Linked DNA regions of Macaca fascicularis. The protein of the gene in region 1 binds, or shares a complex with, the protein of each later gene. Links are inferred from orthologs where the notes say so. Each region holds a gene or a part of one and is shown in the gene's direction. Other genes may lie near its edges. The genes, in order: ITGB3, SHC1, FLNA and ITGA2B.

What was found.
Region 2: the proteins of ITGB3 (region 1) and SHC1 are in contact, whole or in part, in an NMR structure (PDB 2L1C), measured with the Homo sapiens proteins. The link is inferred for Macaca fascicularis from reciprocal best matches to the Homo sapiens genes ITGB3 and SHC1. Residues at the interface, in NP_000203.2 of Homo sapiens: Trp765, Asp766, Thr767, Ala768, Pro771, Leu772, Tyr773, Lys774, Glu775, Ala776, Thr777, Ser778, Thr779, Phe780, Thr781, Asn782, Ile783, Thr784, Tyr785, Arg786, Gly787, Thr788; in NP_892113.4 of Homo sapiens: Ser175, Met176, Arg177, Asn182, Arg184, Thr185, Gln186, Thr188, Arg189, Glu190, Ser193, Leu194, Arg208, Arg209, Lys210, Arg214, Pro215, Leu216, Ser217, Ile219, Met257, Gln258, Ser259, Ile260, Ser261, Phe262, Ala263, Ser264, Gly265, Pro268.
Region 3: the proteins of ITGB3 (region 1) and FLNA are in contact, whole or in part, in an NMR structure (PDB 2MTP), measured with the Homo sapiens proteins. The link is inferred for Macaca fascicularis from reciprocal best matches to the Homo sapiens genes ITGB3 and FLNA. Residues at the interface, in NP_000203.2 of Homo sapiens: Lys742, Ile745, Thr746, Pro771, Leu772, Tyr773, Lys774, Glu775, Ala776, Thr777, Ser778, Thr779, Ile783, Tyr785, Arg786, Gly787, Thr788; in NP_001104026.1 of Homo sapiens: Gly2236, Arg2264, Ala2268, Gly2269, Gly2270, Leu2271, Ala2272, Ile2273, Ala2274, Val2275, Glu2276, Gly2277, Pro2278, Ser2279, Lys2280, Ala2281, Ile2283, Phe2285, Asp2287, Gly2291.
Region 4: the proteins of ITGB3 (region 1) and ITGA2B are in contact, whole or in part, in a cryo-EM structure (PDB 8GCE), measured with the Homo sapiens proteins. The link is inferred for Macaca fascicularis from reciprocal best matches to the Homo sapiens genes ITGB3 and ITGA2B. Residues at the interface, in NP_000203.2 of Homo sapiens: Ser188, Pro189, Tyr190, Tyr192, Ile193, Ser194, Pro195, Pro196, Tyr204, Asp205, Met206, Arg242, Asp243, Pro245, Lys279, His281, Ile282, Ala283, Leu284, Asp285, Arg287, Leu288, Ala289, Gly290, Val292, Gln293, Pro294, Asn295, Asp314, Tyr315; in NP_000410.2 of Homo sapiens: Gln49, Phe52, Arg72, Trp141, His143, Asn145, Glu152, Ala153, Glu154, Lys155, Pro157, Arg184, Phe191, Tyr197, Glu199, Phe202, Pro217, Tyr221, Phe222, Phe262, Asp263, Tyr265, Tyr268, Thr290, Trp293, Thr294, Gln315, Met316, Ala317, Tyr319.

The regions. Positions count from the first base shown.
Region 1 is NC_088390.1:68,264,514-68,268,071, forward strand, and holds part of ITGB3 (integrin beta-3), read left to right. Parts: intron 1-819; coding exon 820-915; intron 916-1,323; coding exon 1,324-1,413; intron 1,414-2,087; coding exon 2,088-2,222; intron 2,223-3,472; coding exon 3,473-3,558. UniProt on the Homo sapiens protein: Integrin alpha-V/beta-3 (ITGAV:ITGB3) is a receptor for cytotactin, fibronectin, laminin, matrix metalloproteinase-2, osteopontin, osteomodulin, prothrombin, thrombospondin, vitronectin and von Willebrand factor.
Region 2 is NC_088375.1:106,174,611-106,178,952, forward strand, and holds the start of SHC1 (SHC-transforming protein 1), read left to right. Parts: upstream 1-1,507; 5' UTR 1,508-1,728; coding exon 1,729-2,223; intron 2,224-2,804; coding exon 2,805-2,875; intron 2,876-3,418; coding exon 3,419-3,482; intron 3,483-3,638; coding exon 3,639-3,758; intron 3,759-3,995; coding exon 3,996-4,049; intron 4,050-4,221; coding exon 4,222-4,273; intron 4,274-4,342. UniProt on the Homo sapiens protein: Signaling adapter that couples activated growth factor receptors to signaling pathways. Participates in a signaling cascade initiated by activated KIT and KITLG/SCF.
Region 3 is NC_088395.1:160,372,377-160,375,934, forward strand, and holds part of FLNA (filamin-A), read left to right. Parts: coding exon 1-95; intron 96-790; coding exon 791-1,388; intron 1,389-1,478; coding exon 1,479-1,652; intron 1,653-1,737; coding exon 1,738-1,900; intron 1,901-1,977; coding exon 1,978-2,138; intron 2,139-2,229; coding exon 2,230-2,400; intron 2,401-2,790; coding exon 2,791-2,914; intron 2,915-3,005; coding exon 3,006-3,162; intron 3,163-3,558. UniProt on the Homo sapiens protein: Promotes orthogonal branching of actin filaments and links actin filaments to membrane glycoproteins. Anchors various transmembrane proteins to the actin cytoskeleton and serves as a scaffold for a wide range of cytoplasmic signaling proteins.
Region 4 is NC_088390.1:65,441,986-65,445,543, reverse strand, and holds part of ITGA2B (integrin alpha-IIb), read left to right. Parts: intron 1-2,297; coding exon 2,298-2,480; intron 2,481-2,719; coding exon 2,720-2,765; intron 2,766-2,873; coding exon 2,874-2,978; intron 2,979-3,062; coding exon 3,063-3,118; intron 3,119-3,210; coding exon 3,211-3,362; intron 3,363-3,546; coding exon 3,547-3,558. UniProt on the Homo sapiens protein: Integrin alpha-IIb/beta-3 is a receptor for fibronectin, fibrinogen, plasminogen, prothrombin, thrombospondin and vitronectin. It recognizes the sequence R-G-D in a wide array of ligands.

The DNA.
Region 1 (3,558 bases):
GCCAAAGTGGGCTATACGTATCCACGGGAGGAAAGCTCATCATGAGCTGGGATGGCCAAGGAAGTCTCCTGAAGGAGGTGGGGCCTAAGCTGGGCCCTAAGAAAGGAGGAGGATTACCAACAAGAAGGCAACTCCAGGTGGGAGACAGTGGACCAGATCACTGCTGAGTGGAAGAGGGAGAGAGGTGAGTAATATTTGGAAAGAAAGACTGAGACCACACGGTGGAGGATCATGAGGGCCAGGCCAAGGCATCGGTCAGTAGTTCCAAAACAGAGGCCTAACCCAGTGCCTTGTGCAGGGAAGCAGCTCCATTGTATTAGTGCATTAAATTCAAGCAGGAAGAAAGAGGTGCTTAGTTTTGACACCACTGGCCTGCACCTCTTTGTCTATCCCTGGAGTTCACAAGTAGACTTCTGTGCTACTTACCCTTCTTGTCTCACTGTACCCCCCGCCCCCCACTCTTTTTTTAGTTTTAGAGACAGAGTCTTGCTCTGCTGCCTGGGCTGGAGTGCAGTGGTGCAGTCATAGCTCACTGTAACCTCCAACTCCTGGGCTGAAGCGATCCTCCTGCCTCAGCTTACCCAGTAGCTAGGACTGTAGGCACTTACCACCACATCTGGCAAATTAAATTTTTTTTTTTTTTTGTAGAGATGGGGCCTTGCTATGTTGCCCAGGCTCTTGTCTCACTTTCAGCATGAAGTGAAAAGGTTTAAGCACCACAACTCTCTGAGCCACAGCCCAAGCAAGATAAGTTCTAAGGTTTAGACCCTAGGGATGTACATGGCACTTCATTAACTTCTACATCCTTCATTTTTCTAGGATTATCCCTCTTTGGGGCTGATGACTGAGAAGCTCTCCCAGAAAAACATCAATTTGATCTTTGCAGTGACTGAAAATGTAGTCAATCTCTATCAGGTGACTGTGCCTTCGGGCTTCCTGGAGTGGGCCCTGTGATGGTGGGAGCCCCAGGTAGCCAGCCTGTGCTAGCGTTGGCCATAGTCCCCAACCAGGAAAGACTCTCCCCTAATCCACTGCCCAGGAGCTAAAGATTGCACTCTGGGCCTTTTTCCTGCAACCTTGAACTTACGAGGTGTGTGCTGGTGTTTGTGGTGATGGAGGGGAGGTGGCAAAGGGTATGAGAGGCTTCCTCTACTTTTGCTCAGGGCTGAAAAACTGCTAGATATATTCCTGGCAGTGACCACTGAAATATCCCATACCTTCCTCCAATCTTCATCTCAGGACTCTCAGTGGGATTTGAGGAGGGCTTTAGGAGACCACCACCTTCCTTCGGTAAGCTCTGGACATCTTTGTCGTCCTTTCTAGAACTATAGTGAGCTCATCCCAGGGACCACAGTCGGGGTTCTGTCCATGGATTCCAGCAATGTCCTCCAGCTCATTGTTGATGCTTATGGGGTAAGTGTCTTGTGCTGGGAATAGTCCTGCGGAGAGTCCACCTCATTTGGCTTACACAGCAGGGCTCAGGTTTGTGAGTCCCAGGTGCCAGTCTACCACACGATCTTACTGCCTTCTCCGTGTGCTCCCAGAGGCCAGGCAGTGGTCTGCTCTAGAAGGGATGCAGCCTTCTGAGAAGGAAGTAGCCCAGAAAGAAAGAAAGAAAGGGGATGGGGATGGGGATGGTGATTAGTTGGAGAAGGAGCAGAGCCCTGGAATTGGGGCAGAGTGAGGGAAAACTGGGCTCCAATAACAGGGAAAAGAGAGAGCTGAGACATGGGGAAGGTGAGGTTGATGAAACATTAGGTAGAAAATGCTGCTTTCCAAGGTGACCAGTACTCCCCTTTCGCAACATCTGTGAGGCGTGCGGGAGGGTGTAGCTGGTACATTTTACCCAGACTCACCTAGACGCAAGTGGAGATGGAAAGAGGGAGCAGGTTCCTGTGCAGGAAACAGAGGAGGAAACAGAGTCCTAGGGGTGCTCCGGCAGCTTCCAGGTCAAACCTTGGCCTCTGGCACTGCTGGGGTAAGTCCAGAGCTACTTGGCAGATTTGGTTTGGGATGGAACTGGCTCTTGCCATTTCCCATTTCCTTTCAGTTCATTTTCTTGTCTTCTTGTGCCCCTTTGTGCTCAGAAAATCCGCTCTAAAGTCGAGCTGGAAGTGCGTGACCTCCCTGAAGAATTGTCTCTATCCTTCAATGCCACCTGCCTCAACAATGAGGTCATCCCTGGCCTCAAGTCTTGTATGGGACTCAAGATTGGAGACACGGTGAGATGGGCTGGGCAGGGCCTTTGTACTGGAGCATCTGTGAGCACCCAACCCCCTTTCTTCTTTTTGTAATGACTAAAAATGGCCCCCTTCCGCCAGAAAAAATATGGGCAGGAAAAATACCTTTCCTGAAAGTCATTTCAAGTTAGATGTAATGGATCCACCAATCTTTTCCTCTGGGGCTTCTGTTGCATAAGCTATTTCTGTTACGTGAACTTAACTCTTAGGAATTTAAAAAACTTACAATTTGGTTACCTTTGTTTGTGTATGCACAGTTGATTGCAAAGGAAAATATTTCTTTACCTTCAGTCCCTCACCAGTCTCCAGCTTTCCCAAGGTAATTAATACCTTTCTTTTGTAAAATGACACAGGAAAGTAAAATCTAAAATGTAAAACGACGACATCATCTATAAATATTTATTGAGCACTGACATTGTGTCAGGCATTGTTCTAGTTGCCGAGAATTTAGCAGCAAATGGAAAAGGCAAGAGTACCTACCCTCATGGAATTTTTGAAGCCAGATGTTCATTTCACCATCCAGTCCCTCCACGACTTTCCTTATCGGTCGTTTCTCCTCTGCTTCTGCCTAAGGGGAGAGGAGTTGGTGGGAGGGGAGGAAGGAGGGGAAGAAAATAGATCTTTGGATGCAGTGATCCTTTCTCTTAATCTATCTATCTTTCAGGCACTTGTGCAAACATCCCATGTTAGAAATATTGTCCTGAAACATGCTTTATTGCATAAACTATAAAATGTGTGGAAATTGAAGTAGATCCTGAGCTTATGGTTGACCACTATGTGGGATTGTGTGGTGCAAAACAGTGCTTTGTGCATCTTGCTGATAATTATAATCAGTCCAGCTTGCTTAGCTGGCCAGAGCAGGGTGTTTATATGATCACAGGTTCTGTTCAGTTTCAGCTGGTCTATTTCACACGTGAAGTAAAAAAACAGCCTTTTATTATTTATTGACTGTAGACCATGTCTCTGCATCCAGCTACATATGTCACAATGATACTATTCCCGTGCTTGTGTTTTTGCTTTGCAGACCTTCACAGAGGTGGAGGTCTGTGGAACCTGTGGAAGGTTTGCTTTGCAGACCTTCCACAAAGCCTGAGGAACTCCATATTGCAAAAGCATAAGACACCCAATTTGGGTATTCCTTGGCAGGGCAGGGAACAACTTTTTTTTCCCTCCAGAGCTGGAGTGTTAACTGGGCCCAACTGTGTCTAAATACAATCTTGCTTTCCATCCAGGTGAGCTTCAGCATTGAGGCCAAGGTGCGAGGCTGCCCCCAGGAGAAGGAGAAGTCCTTTACCATCAAGCCCGTGGGCTTCAAGGA
Region 2 (4,342 bases), on another chromosome or scaffold:
AATACATTTTTTTTTTTTTTTTTTTTGAGGCAGAGTTTTGCTCTTGTCACCCAGGCTGGAGTGCAATGGCACGATCTCAGCTCACTGCAACCTCCACCTCCTGGGTTCAAGCGATTCTCCTGCCTCAGCCTCCCGAGCTGGGATTACAGGTGCTCACCACCACGCCCAGCTAATTTTTGTAGTTTTAGTAGAGACGGGGTTTCACCATGTTGACCAGGCTGGTCTCAATCTTCTGACTTCAGGTGATCCACCCGCCTCGGCCTCCCAAAGTGCTGGGATTACAGGTGTGAGCCACCTTACCCAGCGGGAATATGTATCTTTAACTTGTTTTTTGTTTTTTGGTCGCTTTCCAGCTTTGCCTATGGCATTCTCCAGAAGAGCAGTGGCAGGAAGCCGTGGGTGGCAGGAATGAGTTTGGGACTGTTCCCTGTGTCCAGCTTCAACCCATCTTCTCCTGACACCCCTTTCTCCTGTGCTTACTTGTTTTTTCTCCTGTTCTTATTGACACAGATGTGTCTTCTGATCTCTCTGTCCCTTCCTGGCCTGTCGTTTCTGCTTCTCTTGGAGAACTGTTTCTTCCACCTCCTCCAGCCAGGCTCCTCCCCTGGTGTGAGGGACACTGTGCTGTTTGGTGGGGCTTTGGGTCCTGTAAGAGGAGGGATATGAATTGGGGTGGTTTGGAGTGGGAGTGGGGACCTGATTGCCTCATTCTCACCCTTGACAGTGTGCTGTGTTAACAAGGCCTGTGGAAAGGGGAGAGGACAGTGCTTGGCTATGAGCCATGGGTCTTGGTGTGGTAGATGGCATACATAGAGAACAAGCCGTGACCAGCATGTCCTCTTGTTCCCCTCTTGCCTGGTAGCTTCCTGATGTACCATCCAGGTTGGACTTTATTCCCCTTTTTTCACCAACTTTGCTTCTCCTCTTGACCCTGCTCTGCATCCATTGGGACCACTTCCTTCCCATCCCCACTTCGCTAGCTCCAGTCCACAGCTGTCGTAGCAGAGGATGCTAATGGCCCAGGCTTACTGTATGGGGTAGTGGTTGGGGGTGGCCTGGGCTGGAGGGTGGGGAATTCGAGTGTCCAACCAGAACAGGAAGGGAAATGCTGAGCTCTGAGATCTCCTCCCTTTTCCACCCGCAGCTGCCTCTGTTTCCTCCCTCATTCCCCTCTACTCTAGCCTGGCTTCCTGCCCCCTTTGGCCTGCCTGTGTCCGGTTTCGAGTGACCCAGACCTCCTATCTCCTTTCTTTCCATCCAACTCCTCCATGCTTCCCTCCCACCCCCACTTTCCTTCTCCCCAGATTACTAGTTGTTTGTGTAGGGCAGGGGAGAGGAGCTTGGATAGCCCTACCCTCTGCTCCAGTCCGAGGTTGGGGCGGGGTGGGGGCTCAGCCCCTCTGAGCCTGTGAGTCAGCACTGTCCTCGTGATTGGTCTCTCCCTTTAGCTCTCCGCCCCTGGGGAGGAGCCAGGCAGCTCTGGGTCCAGCCTGTTCTCTTCTCAGCCAGAGAAGAGGCTCCACGTTGGGCGGGGATGGGGCCCGAAACTGTCTGGGTCTGAGCTGGGGAGCGGAAGCCACTTGTCCCTCTCCCTCCCCAGGACTTCTGTGACTCCTGGGCCACAGAGGTCCGACCAGGCTAAGGGCCTGGGAATACCCCCTGCCTGGCCCCCTTGCCCAAACTGGCAGGGGGGCCAGGCCGGGCAGCAGCCCCTCTCTCACCTCAGCTATGGATCTCCTGCCCCCCAAGCCCAAGTACAATCCACTCCGGAATGAGTCTCTGTCATCGCTGGAGGAGGGGGCTTCAGGGTCCACCCCCCCGGAGGAGCTGCCTTCCCCATCAGCTTCATCCCTGGGGCCCATCCTGCCTCCTCTGCCTGGGGACGATAGTCCCACTACTCTGTGCTCCTTCTTCCCCCGGATGAGCAACCTGAGGCTGGCCAACCCGGCTGGGGGGCGCCCAGGGTCTAAGGGGGAGCCAGGAAGGGCAGCCGATGATGGGGAGGGGATCGTAGGGGCAGCCATGCCAGACTCAGGCCCCCTACCCCTCCTCCAGGACATGAACAAGCTGAGTGGAGGCGGCGGGCGCAGGACTCGGGTGGAAGGGGGCCAGCTGGGGGGCGAGGAGTGGACCCGCCACGGGAGCTTTGTCAATAAGCCCACGCGGGGCTGGCTGCATCCCAACGACAAAGTCATGGGACCCGGGGTTTCCTACTTGGTTCGGGTGAGTGAACATCCTCCTTTCCATTGCCTCCCAGACCCCTCCAGTTCTTCTGCTCACTCCAGCTTGGCTGGAATTCTTTTTTCCTGCTGTTCCCCAACAACCCTGTTTCAGTGTTCTATTTCCTAAACCTTTCCCATCCCTTCCCCAATTCTGTAGCCCTTTCCCTTCCAGCTCTGCCTGGGCCCCCTTCCTTCTTTTGACTCCCCTACCCCCACCCTGCCATGCTTAGCACAATGCCCAGCATGGCAGAAGCTCTTAATAAGTGCTGGAAGGAGTGACTTCTTGATCCTTTCCTCCATTCTCCTCTCGCTTTCTGGAGTTGTTGCTCCATCCCAGTCAGTGCCTGTCAGTCCCCTCCAAACTCTCTCCCCAGTGCGTGAGGTCCTTCTAGCCTGCCTTTTCTTTCTCTGCTCGTTCCCTGTTGTCTTTCACCTTGGTTGTGGGATGTAGACACGGAAGAGGGCAGAACTTCTTCCTCTTTACTTCTCTTAGGGACCATATGGGCAAAGTCCTAGGGCCCTTTGTGAAGGGACTGGGGTCAGGGAGCGGCTGACCTGCTGTCCTCTCCTCCCTCCCCTTAGTACATGGGCTGTGTGGAGGTCCTTCAGTCAATGCGTGCCCTGGACTTCAACACCCGGACTCAGGTTACCAGGTTAGTGGGGAGGGAGTGGACTGTGGGAGTCCTGGGATTAGTGAGGCCATGGGAAAGGGCGGAGGGGAGTGGGTCACTTGGGTGCTGCTGGTTGGGGCTGATCTTTGGGTAGTAAAGGGGATTGAGAGAAAGCTGGGATAGTGATTCTGCCTCTTACTGAAAGGAGGCCCCTCTGGCCCGGATCCTCCTTACCTGTCCAGCCTTGGGAGTTGTGGGGAAGGTAGCAGAAGCAGCTGGCAGGTGGAGCTGGAGTAGCAAATGGGGGTAGATGGAAGGTTGCTGCTGCCTTTGGGAAGGGAATGGGACATTTGGTAGCTGGAAGGGGGTGGGGCTATACCCATTGAGGCCCTAACCCAATCAGCCAGGAAGCGGCCTCTCAGTGTCATCAAATATTAAAGGCCCTTAATTCAATCCACCACGACAAAGAGCCTGGAGTGCCCTGGGAGTCTGGCCTGGCTTTCCCCTCCCCCAGCTCTGTGGCAGCCCCAGTTGAGTGGGAGGCAGGCAGGCAGGCGCTGGGTCTGAGTACCCCTCTTTCCCCAGGGAGGCCATCAGTCTGGTGTGTGAGGCTGTGCCGGGTGCTAAGGGGGCGACAAGGAGGAGAAAGGTACTTGGGGTCCTTGGGGATAGGGATGCTGCTGGGAAATGTGGAGGGACAGTGAGGAGGCAAGTGTGGGGCATGTGGGGAGAGGGCCAGGAGACAAGAGTATGGTTTGTCTGTGCTGGGAACCCTCACCTTCTAAGACCCTGGGCCCTACCTTAGCCCTGTAGCCGCCCGCTCAGCTCTATCCTGGGGAGGAGTAATCTGAAATTTGCTGGAATGCCAATCACTCTCACCGTCTCCACCAGCAGCCTCAACCTCATGGCCGCAGACTGCAAACAGGTTGGTGGAGGTGGGCAGGTGGACCAGAAACACCGATGGGGGTGCTAAGGGGAGATCTAGTTAGGAGGCCAAAAACTAGGAAGAGGGCTTGAGAGCAGAAGACCAGTAGGGAAGGAGGAAATGAGGATATGGGATAAGGAACCCAGAGAATGAGACTGGGGCACCAGGGTTCTGGGCCCTGAGGCTGCCTGACACATGGCATTCCCTTCCTTCTCCATCCCCTCCCCTAATTCTCAGATCATCGCCAACCACCACATGCAATCTATCTCATTTGCATCCGGCGGGGATCCGGTGAGTTGGGGAACAGAGCAAAGGTGGTGGGAGAAGAGCAAGGGGCTAGTGATTGGGAAGACATTGATTAGAGAAGTGGGGGTGCTAGGACTGTGGGGATATCTGAAAAGGACTGGGTTTTAGGGGTCAGGAGTAAAGTGGAACTGTAAAATTTTCTGACCTTCCTCCCCAGGACACAGCCGAGTATGTCGCCTACGTTGCCAAAGACCCTGTGAATCAGAGAGGTGAGGCATGGTGGGGAGCACTGGGTGGGTCTGGCTGTTTGAGGTGAGTAGGACCTGGGGTCATTTGTA
Region 3 (3,558 bases), on another chromosome or scaffold:
AAGGGCCCTATGAGGTGGAGGTGACCTATGACGGCGTGCCTGTGCCTGGCAGCCCCTTTCCTGTGGAAGCTGTGGCCCCTACCAAGCCTAGCAAGGTAACTGGGGTATGGGAGGCCCTAAGGGTAGAACCTACTGTGTTCTCTGAGGGCCCAGAGAGCACCCCATCTTCTCCAGACCTGCCCTCAATCCTCCTTTTTTTTTTTTTTCTGAGACAGACTGTTAACCTTGACCCAGTTTAAGTGAGAGTAAAGGGGAGGAGGGAAATAGAAACCCACAAAAAGTCATCAGGGTTAAAGCATTTTTGTTTCTTTTTTTTTTTTTCTTTTTTTTGAGAAAGAGTCTCACTCTGTCGCCCAGGCTGAAGTGCACTGGCGTGATCTCAGCTCACTGCACCTTCTGCCTCCCGGCTTTAAGCGATACTCCTGCCTCAGCCTCCCAAGTAGCTGGGGTTACAGGTGCCTGCCACCACGCCTGGCTAATTTTTGTATTTTTAGTAGAGACGAGATTTCACCATGTTGGCCAGGCTGTTCTCAAACTCCTGATCTCAGGTGATCCACCTGCCTTGGCCTCCCAAAGGGCTGGGATTATAAGTGTGAGCCACCGCGCCCGTCCCTCCTTTTTGTCCTTATGACTGATGGATGGCCCATCTGGCAGGCAGCCTGGGCCCGCCAGCATCCCTGTTTGGTGAGGGCAGGAAGCCAGGGCAAGGGGAGGCAGGTGGAGAGTCAGGCAGGAGGTCTGGGGTCAGGGGCATAGCATGGCCTTGGCTCCTGACCCCTTCTTCCCTCAGGTGAAGGCGTTTGGGCCGGGGCTGCAGGGAGGCAGTGCAGGCTCCCCCGCCCGCTTCACCATTGACACCAAGGGCGCCGGCACAGGTGGCCTGGGCTTGACAGTGGAGGGCCCCTGCGAGGCACAGCTCGAGTGCTTGGACAACGGGGACGGCACATGTTCCGTGTCCTATGTGCCCACCGAGCCCGGGGACTACAACATCAACATCCTCTTCGCTGACACCCACATCCCTGGCTCCCCATTCAAGGCCCATGTGGTTCCCTGCTTTGACGCATCCAAAGTCAAGTGCTCAGGCCCTGGGCTGGAGCGGGCCACCGCTGGGGAAGTGGGCCAATTCCAAGTAGACTGCTCGAGTGCAGGCAGTGCAGAGCTGACCATTGAGATCTGCTCAGAGGCGGGGCTGCCAGCCGAGGTGTACATCCAGGACCACGGCGACGGCACGCACACTATCACATACATTCCTCTCTGCCCCGGGGCCTACACTGTCACCATCAAGTACGGCGGCCAGCCTGTGCCCAACTTCCCCAGCAAGCTGCAGGTGGAGCCCGCAGTGGACACTTCCGGCGTCCAGTGTTACGGGCCTGGGATTGAGGGCCAGGGTGAGTTGCCCTGCCGTGGGGTATGTGGCAGCGGGGACACAGGGACCAGAACCCCAGAGCCCCAAGCCTCCTCTCTGTGTCCCTTTGCAGGTGTCTTCCGTGAGGCCACCACTGAGTTCAGTGTGGACGCCCGGGCTCTGACACAGACCGGAGGGCCGCACGTCAAGGCCCGTGTGGCCAACCCCTCAGGCAACCTGACAGAGACCTACGTTCAGGACCGAGGCGACGGCACGTACAAAGTGGAGTACACGCCTTACGAGGAGGGTGCGTGCTGGGGCTCCCACAGGCTGGTGGACGGTGGTGGGTGGGGTGGCCCGGGCTCCTCCTGACCTGGCCTGCACTCCTCCAGGACTGCACTCGGTGGACGTGACCTACGACGGCAGCCCCGTGCCCAGCAGCCCCTTCCAGGTGCCCGTGACTGAGGGCTGCGACCCCTCCCGGGTGCGTGTCCATGGGCCAGGCATCCAAAGTGGCACCACCAACAAGCCCAACAAGTTCACTGTGGAGACCAGGTGAGGGAGCCCCCAGGAGCCTGGGTGGCCAGTAGGCCTGGGAACCCCAGGAATGACCGGCTGTCTGTTTGGACCAGGGGAGCTGGCACGGGCGGCCTGGGCCTGGCTGTAGAGGGCCCCTCCGAGGCCAAGATGTCCTGCATGGATAACAAGGATGGCAGCTGCTCAGTTGAGTACATTCCTTATGAGGCTGGCACCTACAGCCTCAATGTCACCTATGGTGGCCATCAAGTGCCAGGTGAGGAGGTGGCAGCCAGGGCAGGGCTGGGACTGTCTGCTCCACCCCACCCTGTCTCATACAGCTGCCATACCTTTGCCCCAACCCTCAGGCAGTCCTTTCAAGGTCCCTGTGCATGATGTGACAGATGCGTCCAAGGTCAAGTGCTCTGGGCCCGGCCTGAGCCCAGGCATGGTTCGTGCCAACCTTCCTCAGTCCTTCCAGGTGGACACAAGCAAGGCTGGTGTGGCCCCACTGCAGGTCAAAGTGCAAGGGCCCAAAGGTGAGTGTTTGCATGCCTGGAGCCGGGGGTCGGGAGGGCAGTGTCCTCTTTGAGGGCTGGGAAAGGAGACTGGAGGCCCAGAGTGCAAGTGTACAGGTGTTTTCGGAAGAGCCTCAGATGACAGTGCATCCAGGAGGGGACTTAGAGGAGGTAGAGCAGATGGGACTTGGTCACTGAGCAGATGTGGCAGGAAGGCAGGCGGGCAAGGTTCCCAGCTGGCACCCAGATGGGTGTCTTGTGTCAGAGGGGGTCAAGGCTATTCCCAGGGTCGGGCGGATGAGGATAAAGCGAGGTCTAGGCCTGGGGCTGGGTCCTGGCAGTCCAGTGTGGTGGGATAGGAATGGAGGCCTAGGAGACTAGCTGAGGCTCTGTCCCTGGGGCTGGGGCCAGGCCTGGTGGAGCCAGTGGACGTGGTGGACAACGCTGATGGCACCCAGACTGTCAATTATGTGCCCAGCCGAGAAGGGCCCTACAGCATCTCAGTACTGTATGGAGATGAAGAGGTGCCCCGGAGGTAAGAGGCAGGGCCTGCTGCCTGTGGGGAGTAGCCCAGGCTGGATGTTGAGAACCTGTCTGACTGCTCGTCACAACACCCATACCCACAGCCCCTTCAAGGTCAAGGTGCTGCCTACTCATGATGCCAGCAAGGTGAAGGCCAGTGGCCCCGGACTCAACACCACTGGCGTGCCCGCCAGCCTGCCCGTGGAGTTCACCATCGATGCAAAGGATGCTGGGGAGGGCCTGCTGGCTGTCCAGATCACGGTGAGCTCCAGGAACAAGCAGGGGAGGCAAGGGGGCCTGGGCCTGGGAGGCTGGAGTGTGGGCTGTGGTGGCCAGTGTCTGATATCCCTGGGGAGCTGCACCAAGGAGGGCAGGGAAGGACAGGGCCCCTGTCTTTGGTTCGCTAAGGTTGTGACTACCTTAGGATAGTGGTGACAGGCACAGGCTTCCCCAGACATGCACTTGCTGTTAACTTTGAGCATGTCACCAAAGCCTTTTGTGCCTCAGTTTCCCCACCTGTAATATTCTCATGGGGCAGGTATAGGATAAAAACTTGAGAACACCCAGGTGAGCTCCTCCTAGTGCTGGACAGGCCCTGGGGCTGAGGATGGGTGCCAAGCTCCCTGGCTGTGCCTATTGTCATGTGGGGAGTGTGGG
Region 4 (3,558 bases), about 2.8 Mb from region 1:
GATGAAGGAGACTAATTAGGATGTGTTTGCCTTAATCCGGGCAAGAGACAATGACCACCTGGATGTGGATTTTGGCAGTGGAGTTAGAGATGGGAGTGACTTCACAGATATTTAGGACTTGGATTCTTAGGACTTGGTGGGAGACTGGATGTGGGGCCAGGGGAGAGATTGGAGTTGGGTGCCTGTGATGCCCTCCACTGCCTGGAACTCAGGCCGTGCAGCAGGTGCTGGGGAGAGGTGGGAGATCAGCAGTTTAGCTCTGGACCTGTTGAGCTTGAAGGGCTTGGGTGCTTTAGGCAGAAATATCCAAAGAACAGTGGGAGTGGCTTTCCCCGCTTCCACAAGATCGATCTGAATGGGAGACAGGGGTTTGGGGAAAGTGGATGAGGTCCCGGGACCTGTGAAATTAGAAGAGGCCCAGGATAGAGCCCTGGGGAGCAAAAGCATTTAGGTGACTCATACAGGAGGTGAGTCTGAGGAAGAGACGGAGAAGTGTCCAGAGAGGGAGGAGGGAACCCAGGGGGTGTGATGGCCAGGGACTCAAGGAAGAGCATGTGTTAAAAAGCATGTGCAGGAGGAAGTGGGTGCTGCAGCTCCTGATGCTGCTGCAAGGTACAATTCGATGGGGCTGGAGAAATATCCATGGGCTTTAGCAAGAAGAGGGTGCCGGGCACGATGGCTCATGCCTGTAATCCCAGCTACTTGTGAAATTGAGGCAGGAGAATCTCTGGAACCCAGGAAGTGGAGGTTGCACTGAGCTGAGATCGCGCCACTACTGCACTCCAGCATGGGCAACAGAGCAAGACTCCATGTCAGCGAAAGAAAGAAAGAGAGAAAGAGAAAGAGAGAGAGAGAGAGAAAAGAAAGAAAGAAAGAAAAAGAGGGGAGGAGGTTATTGGTGACAGTGACATAAATTGATTCAGGTCAAGGTAGGGTCAAAAGCCAGAATGCAATTGGGTAAGGTATGAATGGAGGTGAAAAATTGGAGGCAGCTAATGTAAACAGCTCTTTCAACAGGTTTGTGGTAAAAAGGAATTTGAGGAATAGAAAGAAAAAAAAAAGGACATGTTTGACTATGAGAGGAAAAAGAGAAAAGGTGATTATGGAAAAGAGATGAGGGTCAAGGGAAGATTATTTCAATGTGGAAGAACATGGAGTAGGTTGAAAATGATGTTGTGGGGAAATGGGGGGATGAGCCAGCAGAGAGTCCCTGTGATGCCTCAGGGAGTGGGAGGATGACTGGCCCAGTGTCAGGGTAAAGGAGGGAAACCTCTTCCAGGGTCAAATGGGGAAGCGGGAAGAAAGTCAGTATGGGATTATAGCATAACAGTGGGCTGCTTCTCTTCCTGAAGTAAGGGATTATGTCACCTGCTGAAGGAAATGACGGGGCTGGGAGCTTGATGGAATGGAGAGGTTAGAAATAGATGCTAGATGGCCAGGCACGGTGGCTCACACCCGGAATCCCAGCACTTTGGGAGGCCGAGGCAGGAGGATCACTTGAGCCGAAGAGTTTGAGACCAGCCTGGGCAACACAGGGATATCTTGTCTCTATAAAATTTTTTTAAAATTAGCTGGGCATGGTGGTTGTAGTCTCAACTGCTTGGGAAGCTGAGGTGGGAGGATCGCTTTAGCCCAGAAGGTTGAGGCTGCAGTAAGCCATGGTTGCACCACTGCACTCCAGCCTGAATGACAGAGCAAGACTGTCTTAAAAATAAAAAAATGTTAAAAGGTGGCTCACACCTGTAATCCCAGCACTTTGGGAGCCCAAAGTGAGCAGATCACTTGAGGTCAGGAGTTCGAGACCAGCCTGGCCAATGTGGTGAAACCCTGTTTCTACTAAAAATACAAAAATTAGCCGAGCATGGTGGTAGGCGTCTGTAATCCCAGCTACTAGAGAGGCTGAGGCACAAGAATCACTTTAACGGGGGAGGCACAGGTTGCAGTGAGCCGAGATCGCACCACTGCACTCCAGCCTGGACAACAGAGCAAGGCTCTATCTCAAATAATAATAATAATAATAATAAATTTAGAAAAAGGAATAATGATGCTTAATTTTCAGGATATATTTTCCTCAATAGACAGTGAGAGTTGTCACTGTTTTTATAACAATCCTACTTGGCAGGTCCCTCTCCCACCTGATTGTCAACTCCTGGAGGGTAAGGCAGCGCCTCCTTCACCTACCCTTTGTACCCCTTTCCCGGTCTCCTGGGATGTGCCCAGAGAAGCTCAGGAAAGCTTTACAGTCATCTAGGGAGGCTGAATAACAATCAGCCACTCCCTTTCTGTTACTCTTCCAGACATTGCAGTGGCTGCCCCCTACGGGGGTCCCAGTGGCCGGGGCCAAGTGCTGGTGTTCCTGGGTCAGAGTGAGGGGCTGAGTTCACGTCCCTCCCAGGTCCTGGACAGCCCCTTCCCCACAGGCTCTGCCTTTGGCTTCTCCCTTCGAGGTGCTGTAGACATCGATGACAACGGATACCCAGGTGCCCTAGACTGCCTCCAGTTAGAAATGCCCAAGAAAGGCCCTTGGACTTTTGCTGGAAGTGCCGAGAGACACAGCCAGGGGCTCATGGCTGGCCTGGTGTCCCACTGTGGACTGCCAGAGGGGCTGGGTGAAACCTCCAGTGGGGGAGGTGGTGTGGGGAAACCCCTGGGAAGATGAGATGAGGGATCCCACGCCCTCTCTAATGGCCAATTCTGACCCCTTCCTCGATGTCTGTAGACCTGATTGTGGGAGCTTACGGGGCCAACCAGGTGGCTGTGTACAGGTAAGCGCTGGCTCCAGGGGCAGGATGGGGAAGGTCCCATGCCATCAGAGGAGGCCAGGCCAGGAGGAGCCACAGTGGCAAGCCTACCCCATCACCCCATCCCATCAGAGCTCAGCCAGTGGTGAAGGCCTCCGTCCAGCTACTGGTACAAGATTCACTGAATCCTGCTGTGAAGAGCTGTGTCCTACCCCAGACCAAGACACCCGTGAGCTGGTGAGGAGGCAGAGGGCATGGGCCTTGAAGGATCTGGGACCTCAGAAAGGCCCCAACCCCTGAGCCCCACTTACGTCTTTGCAGCTTCAAAATCCAGATGTGTGTTGGAGCCACTGGGCACAACATTCCTCAGAAGCTGTGTGAGTGGCATGAAGGGGATAGGAGGGAGATGGGCTTGGACTCCCCCGGAGGCTGGCCAGGGAGGTCCTGACTCTTCTGCTTGCCCTGCCAGCCCTAAATGCCGAGCTGCAGTTGGACCGGCAGAAGCCCCGCCAGGGCCGGCGGGTGCTGCTGCTGGGCTCTCAACAGGCAGGCACCACCCTGAACCTGGATCTGGGCGGAAAGCACAGCCCCATCTGCCACACCACCATGGCCTTCCTTCGAGTACGCCCAGGCAGGGGATTGGCAGGGCTGGGCGAGTAGAACACACCCACTGCACTTGTTCTTCCAGCCCCAGGGTACTGAGCTGGGTGCTGTGAGTCCGGGGGTAGTCAGGACACGGTGCCTACTGGCCAGAAGGTGGGATGTGTATGGCAGCAAGATGGCCTGACTCTTGCCCCCGTCCTAGGATGAGGCAGAA